Sus scrofa: one gene and its partner. The protein of the gene in region 1 binds, or shares a complex with, the protein of each later gene. Links are inferred from orthologs where the notes say so. Each region holds a gene or a part of one and is shown in the gene's direction. Other genes may lie near its edges. The genes, in order: GNAI3 and RGS8.

Evidence for each region.
Region 2: the proteins of GNAI3 (region 1) and RGS8 are in contact, whole or in part, in a crystal structure (PDB 2ODE), measured with the Homo sapiens proteins. The link is inferred for Sus scrofa from reciprocal best matches to the Homo sapiens genes GNAI3 and RGS8. Residues at the interface, in NP_006487.1 of Homo sapiens: Glu65, Gln68, Ser75, Val179, Lys180, Thr181, Thr182, Gly183, Ile184, Val185, Gln204, Ser206, Glu207, Lys209, Lys210, His213, Ala235, Glu236, Asp237, Glu238; in NP_001095920.1 of Homo sapiens: Thr76, Glu77, Phe78, Ser79, Glu81, Asn82, Ala117, Pro118, Glu120, Val121, Asn122, Ile123, Asp124, Phe125, Gln126, Arg128, Leu153, Lys156, Asp157, Ser158, Arg161, Arg164.

Annotation. Positions count from the first base shown.
Region 1 is NC_010446.5:110,540,858-110,544,676, reverse strand, and holds part of GNAI3 (guanine nucleotide-binding protein G(k) subunit alpha), read left to right. Parts: intron 1-965; coding exon 966-1,094; intron 1,095-3,819. UniProt on the Homo sapiens protein: Heterotrimeric guanine nucleotide-binding proteins (G proteins) function as transducers downstream of G protein-coupled receptors (GPCRs) in numerous signaling cascades.
Region 2 is NC_010451.4:123,956,035-123,959,624, reverse strand, and holds part of RGS8 (regulator of G-protein signaling 8), read left to right. Parts: intron 1-1,276; coding exon 1,277-1,459; 3' UTR 1,460-3,590. UniProt on the Homo sapiens protein: Regulates G protein-coupled receptor signaling cascades, including signaling via muscarinic acetylcholine receptor CHRM2 and dopamine receptor DRD2.

The DNA of each region.
Region 1 (3,819 bases):
ATGCTATCACCTATTCTTAAAAAAAATCTTTAGGAACCCTGAAATCGTGAAAAATTTAGTTTAGCTTTGAAGCAGTTTTTAAACTATTTTACTGATCAAGTGAAGTTTCTTTGGAGGTATTTACAATTAGTTTTTGGCATAGGTTTTTTTTTTTTTTTTTTTTTTTTTTTTTTTTGTCTTTTGTTATTGTTGCTATTTCTTGGGCCGCTCCCGCGGCATATGGAGGTTCCCAGGCTAGGGATTGAATCGGAGCTGTAGCCACCGGCCTACGCCAGAGCCACAGCAACGCAGGATCCGAGCCGCGTCTGCAACCTACACCACAGCTCCCGGCAACGCCGGATCATTAACCCACTGAGCAAGGGCAGGGACCGAACCCGCAACCTCATGGTTCCTAGTCGGGTTCGTTAACCACTGCGCCACGACGGGAACTCCGGCATAGGTTTTTAAAAAATTAAACCTACAGCTTTTTTTTTTTCTTGAGTGAAAACAGGAGATACTCATTCTTATTGAGCTTAGTTCTTTTTAATTCTAGTAATCCAGATAGCTATTTTCTAATGTCCTAGCAAATGTTTAAACATACGAATGACCCATTAACTTTAAATGTCTGAAGGCTTTTGTTTTGGTTAGGGTTTTATAAGTAGGCTGTGCCTAGTTGACTTAATATTAAATTTCAGGGATCTTTAATAAGAATAGCATTTCCATGTTGTTTTAAATTGGCTTTCACAGTTTAATTTTGGTAAAATTAAAACCACTTTATTGTAGTGTATATAAAAACTACTTTAATTGTCCTATGTTTGGTTCACTTTTTCCTCATTATTTCTATGATATTGAAGATCTGATTTGTTCTGCCACTTTAGTGACAGATTCGGAATTCACTTTTGGCAAGGAATGAGTTTAGTCTATGGACTTGCTGTGTGTATGGTTGGCTTTACTAAATAAAATAAATTTGTATTTTACTTATTTAGTTACCTAAATGATTTGGATAGAATATCCCAAACCAACTACATTCCAACTCAGCAAGATGTCCTGCGGACAAGAGTGAAGACCACAGGCATTGTGGAGACACACTTCACTTTCAAAGACCTGTACTTCAAGTAAGTCCTTAGCCTCTTCCTAGATGTATCTTTGCTCTAGTTAGTCTCTTCATCAGGGTAACATTTTTCTAGGCAGTATTCCTTGATTTAGAAACTTATGTTCATCAGCCAGTATTTGACTATTTTAAGTGTCAATGTAAACATTTCTTCTTTCTTTAAATAGCATCAAATATTTTTGTCCATTTGCAGGAATTTAAATTCAAAATGAAACTGTAACTTACATGTCAATAAAAGTAATCACATGGTTACCAATTTATTTTATTTTTAATTTTATTCTTTTCAGCTGCTTTTTTGTTGGAATCACCAAAACAGGTATTGAATGTTTGTTGTTTAGAAGGGTAACAACAATACTAAAAAGATAGAAAACCAGTGTTTTGGTTTAATTATGTGGCTTTGTTCTGGCATTTTGATGTTAAAGTAGAAGTGCTTTTTATCAGGGTCAGTCATTTCTTGGATCACACTTTAAGTTTAATGGGACGGTGCTAATATTGTCGTGGCCTTTGGTTTGTACACAGTAAGTATTATGCACAACCAGCTTCCTAATACAGTGCAGAATGAATATTGATCTGGGGCTAGAGGTATTTTGGAGAGGCATGATGACATGTAAACAATTATTGTTATAGAGAGAGAAAATTCTTGTATTCTAATGCAGTGGATTTTCTCATCAGCATTAGTAATTCTAGCTTCAGCTTGTCTCTGCGTCAACAGTCTTATGTAAATAATAGAACTGTCTTTATGGTTCCTGTCTTCTGCTTTTGTGACCTTTGAGGTTAGGAGTAAACTTTTCCCCTTCAGTGTATGATGTCCTTTTTAGCTGCTTCATTATGCTTGTATGTAGAATGCGATATTCAGCACTGTTGCATGCAAATGTAACTTCTAGCTCAGATTCTCTATTTTCTCTTGAAAAAAATTGCTTCGTGGGATTTGCAAAATTCACACAGACTTTAGGTATTATTAAATACTAGTTGAGGTCTTAAAATCTTAATACACCAAAACAGATTTGAAAATTGATACAGGAAAATAGCAGTTCAGCTGAATATTTTTAGAATAGAGGAACCGCTTATACTGATGAATTTATTTAATAAAAGTAGCAAAGGCTCCATAAATCATCACCCAAGAAACTGAAAGAATGAGATATCTCTTTGTGTGCTATAAGGTTAGTAATCCATTTATAATTATATGTTGTGACTTTTATTTATTTAGTGTGGGAAACTTTTTTGTTGATGTCATAGATTGATCTTTAGGTAGGTAAATCCTGTTGGTCTTTTTATGTCAGGATAAATAGCCAGATCTAATTAAGGTGCTGCACCCACTTTATTGCTGGCATATAGATATCTGTTATGAAGTACTATCATTTCTTCCTTTTCCTCTTCTCTCTAGGCAAAACCACTATCCATTTATTCAAACATTTATTGAGCATCTCCTATATGCAAGGCATTGTGTAATTGCTTACTTGCCTCTCAGTTATGAGGTAATGTTTATAAAATGTTGATCTGTTAGTGAATGATACTGTAAATGTTAATATGTGTGGAAAGCCCACCTTGGGAACTTCACAGGGTTCAGTTTTATGGACTTTATAGAAAAAAATGGAGAAGCAAAATGAAATTAATGGTGTACCAGTATGTGTCTCCCCTTGAAAGATCCGTGGCGAAATATATAATCTTAGCTTTCCTAAAACCTATATATGGTATGACCTTGTATTAGAACCAGTTTATGAGTGCCTCATTCCGGGTGTCAGGACTAAAGGTTGAAAAGAACTGCGTAAGATCAGCCAAAAGAAAAAGTTGGGTCATGGAGAGATGAGATGACTATTCTTTTTCAAACATACATTGAGAAATTATTCAACAGTGTCTTATTTCTCTCACTCTCTAAGGAGAAAATTCTCTGGCAATAGACTCCTAGTCACTATAGATCTGGTACAATGAACCAGCTTGGCAGAGTTTACACTTAAAACATTTTATGATTGTCATCAAACATATGTCTTAAGAGTAGCTAATCATTTGTATGCATACCTCCTAGTACTAGTTAAAAGACAAAGCAGTGCAGGTCCTCCTCTTACTCTAGATGGTAGATGAGGACACTGCTGACAGAAGTTCAGCAGCTGATTCCTAATAGCAAGTAAGCGCCCCCCACCCTGAAGGGAATAGTGGACTAACACTAACCTCGAGTGGAACATAAAGTGCGTGAACAATTGAAGCTTTGTTGTTATTGATTAGGTTAAAATAAAACTTGGAGTTAGAAAATACGGTTTAAGTTTTGGGTTTAGATATTAGGTTCTTAGAGTCTTATCCTAAAATATAATTTACTTTTTTCCATAATCTCTAAAACGTTTTCCTTAAAGTAAGAAAAATGTATTTCAATTATATCTCAATTAAAAAAAAAAGGGAAAACAAACTTTTGAATCTGGAAGCAGAAAGCAAGTTGGGGATTTATATTTTTTCATTGTTCTTTTTTTTTATTAGAGAGATAAACCATTTTGAAAGGCAGAGTGGTGTGATGGGTAAGAGTTGGTTACTGGAGTTAGAGTTCCAGTCCCCATTTGTTAGTAGTGTGCTCTTAGGTAAATTATTTAACATCTTTGTGCCTCAGTTTCTTCATCTGGGATAGTAACAGTACTAACGGGAGTGTTATGAGGGTTAAATGAGTTAATGTACTTCAGGATGTTTAGGATAGTGTCTGGCACCAGTAAACACTCAAACAGTAGTTATTATGGTTACTACCTCGA
Region 2 (3,590 bases), on another chromosome or scaffold:
AAACATATACCAGCAGGAACTATGTTTCTCTAGGGATTCTGCAAGATAGATGATGCTGCATCCATGTTGGTTTTCCTGGTAGAAGGTAGCACAGCTTGATGGAATGAGCATGTACTTTGGAATCTTATTCCACTGTCATTTTTACCACTTGCTTGCTGTGTGACCTTTGTCAAGTTACCTAGTCTCTCTGAGTCACATTTACCCTGATGTAAAAGGGTACAATATTACCTACCTTTTAAGACTACTCTGAGTATTAGGGATCAAACACCTATTCAATATTGGTCATGTTTATTAAGGAGTTATTACAGTTATTTGTATTATTTTGTGATAATTTATTATAACCACTTATATAATAATATGACTTTCTAGGTACTGCTATTCTGAGTTATAAAACAGAGTTTTACCCAGGAAGGTTTTTTTTTTTTTTTTTTTTTGTCTTTTTTTGCCTTTTCTAGGGCCGCTCCCACTGCACATGGAGGTTCCCAGGCCAGGGGTTGAATTGGAGCTGTAGCCACCGGCCTACACCACAGCAATGCAGGATCCAAGCCACATCTGTGACCTACACCACAACTCATGGCAACGCTAGATCCTTAACCCCCTGAGCAAGGCCAGGGATCGAACCCGCAACCTCATGGTTCCTAGTCGGATTCGTTAATAGGACAGGAACTTCCCGGGAAGGTTTTATAGAAGAAAAATATCTGCTGTCTATGCGTTGTGATGCATTACATACCTAGACCTCTTCGATTCTGCTTTGACTTGGGATAGAGGAGGGCTTTGGCCAGTGGCCAGAATGCTCTGGGCTCCTGTTAATGCTGGCTGGACAGAGATGCACATTCTAAACATCATCTTTCTCCTTGGGGCATGTTTCCTTAGTGACTGAGGAAGAAGGAAAGGTCAAACTTGCCTTAGGGACCCCGCATTAATGCTTGTCTCCAGATTAACTCTTTACCTGACAGTGGTGAAGACCTCTGGATTAGGAGTTGAGGACTTTGGGATTTTGCCCTAGGTATTTCCCATGGTGTCTTAGACCAGCTTTTTCATATCTCTGTCTTCAGTATCCTTACTTTTAAATTCGGCAAAGAGTATCTGGTCTTCAAACCTCACGAGGCTCCTCCTGGGATCGAAAGGGATGGGTGACCTTCAAGAAAGCGGTTTGAAAAGCCTGAATAACCCTGCGTATTTAAGATGCTATCATTAATAATTATGCTGTAGGACCAGCTGCCAGGTGGCTTGGCCCTCGAGGGCCTGTGACTATGCTGTCTGTTTGTGTCTCCAGGTAAACATAGACTTCCAGACCCGAGAAGCCACAAGGAAGAACATGCAAGAGCCGTCCCTGACGTGCTTTGACCAAGCCCAGGGAAAAGTACACAGTCTCATGGAGAAAGACTCTTACCCCCGGTTCCTGAGGTCTAAAATGTACTTAGATTTGCTGTCCCAGAGCCAGAGGAGGCTGAGTTAGACCTCAGATGGGGACTCTTGGAGATTCACCGGCTTTCCCCTCCCCTTGCTGCCAAGACCATATTCTAATGTGAAATGTCATAGGTATTCAAAAGCAGTGGCATTGCGGTTGGGAGGCTGGGAGTGAGGAAGGGATGAAGGGCCATTCCAGAGTATGATTCAGCCACCAGAGCTCGGACTCTATTCCATTTACCCACGTTTGTGTCTTGGTTAGTGGTAGCACCTTGTCACCGTCACCCTTCTCAGGTCGGCAGCTTGCCCTCCATCCTGCCTTGGGTCACTGCCCCTGAGAAGGCACATTTGCTCTGCTGGGCTACTCTGTAAATAGTGCAAATGCAGTTTCCACCACGTCCACACCCTCCTCAGTTAGGATTCCCGACTCTCTAACGTGTCCTGTCGCCCTGTGAGAAAGAGCTAGAAGACGCCGGCCCACTCTTGTGATTTGCTGTCACAGTGGAATGGCCAGTCCTGGGCGCTGGGCCTCACAGTTTAGGAGAGAGGTCTCGGTGGAATCCAGGTTGTTAGCGTTGTTGCTGACAGGTGGCCTCTGAGGGAAGGGGCACGCTCCATGGAGTTGGCTGTTTCTTCCATTTCCGTAGGACGAGTGTGTAAAGCTGGGCTCCCTGCCCGTCTCAGCCTAGGAAATTTACAAGACTCCCATCCTCTTGCATCTCCAGAAAGCATCTTGCGAGATGTCCCTCAATGACTTCTGATGTGGAGCTGCTGTTAAGAAAGATTCAGCTTGCAAATCTTCCTCCATTCTACCAAGAAGTTTTCCAGAAGTTGAATGAGCCGGGGATGTAGCCCCAGTGGACTTTTGTGCAGTGGGGCACTGTGTAACCTCTCTCTTGCTTAATGCCCTCACCCTCCTGTGGCATCATGCTTCACTGATCTCTTAGACTAATGGACAGCTTGGTAAAGGCAGGTGAATTCCCGCAGCACGGACAGCTCTCACGGTGCCTAGTACTTTCCCTGTCTCTCCCTCTTCCCCCTTCCATGCAGGTCATGTAATTATGATGGGGGAGAATGGGGACTTAGGCTGTACCTCTCTTTCCTGCTTGCTTCCTGGGAGCATGCTTTCTAGGAAAGGTCCCTCGCTCGAGGGCCGTCTTGGCCGATCAGCAGCTTCCGTCTTGGTCGCTGACTTTGGGGAACTGAACATGGAACAGGAGGTGAGGCTAAGATCACTGTGAACCTCTGGGTGTGGAGAACCTTCCTAAAATGGCTTCGTGGTGCCCTGGCGCCGCTCTTAGAAATACGTCGGGAAAATCTCCTTTGGAGGATGAGCGAGATGCAGGAAACCTATTCCAGCTGCCCAGGCAAAAGCTCGCTTTGGCCCAAGACTGCAGTGCTGAGAAGATGAAACCTCAGCAGAGGGGCCAGAAAGCAGAAGAGGAGGCTGGACTCCAGGTGGACTGAATCACGGAGAACGTGCTGGAGGTACCATTGGCGTGATTCACAGCCGCTGGATTTGGATTCACGGCAGAGCTCGCAAACCTTCAGCTTGACGAAAGCAACGAGCACCAGCTGAGGCATCCGTGCTGGAGTGCAGGGAACTGAGACCTGGCCTGAATCCTTTCCTCCCGTCGAGTGGGGGTTGGGGCCCTTTTCGATACACCAGAGTTCCAGTGTGCATCCCGATCCAGTAACTTCCTGAATCTCTTCCTTCCTTGGCCCCCGCTAGACAAGGCCAAGAAGGCTCTTGAGTCCCACTGGCTGTTAGGGTCCCCCGCCCTGCCGTATATCTGTGCGTATCTGCGAGCGAGGGTTGGTGGGTCTGCACGAACCATCGAGAAGCGAGAACGCAGGCCTCCTGAAGGGACCTGTGGAACGCCACATTCGGAGCTCCGCAGCCTCATTCGGGTGTTCCTGGTTAGATCAGGTAGGAGTCCCCTGTCCCCACAGGTGAAAATCCATCCTTAGCTTAAGCTGCCAGAATTAATTTAACGATCAGAGTCTCAAACAGGGTATTTTAAACGTTGTTTACACACGAAACGTGCATCTGCTGCCAACTCTGCTGTCGAACACGAGGTGCATATCCATTGGAACAGTCCAGAGTTAGGGAAACACGAAACATTCTAAGAGCAGCCTTGTCGCCCCTGCCACTGCCCCAGGAGAAGAGTCTGAACAGG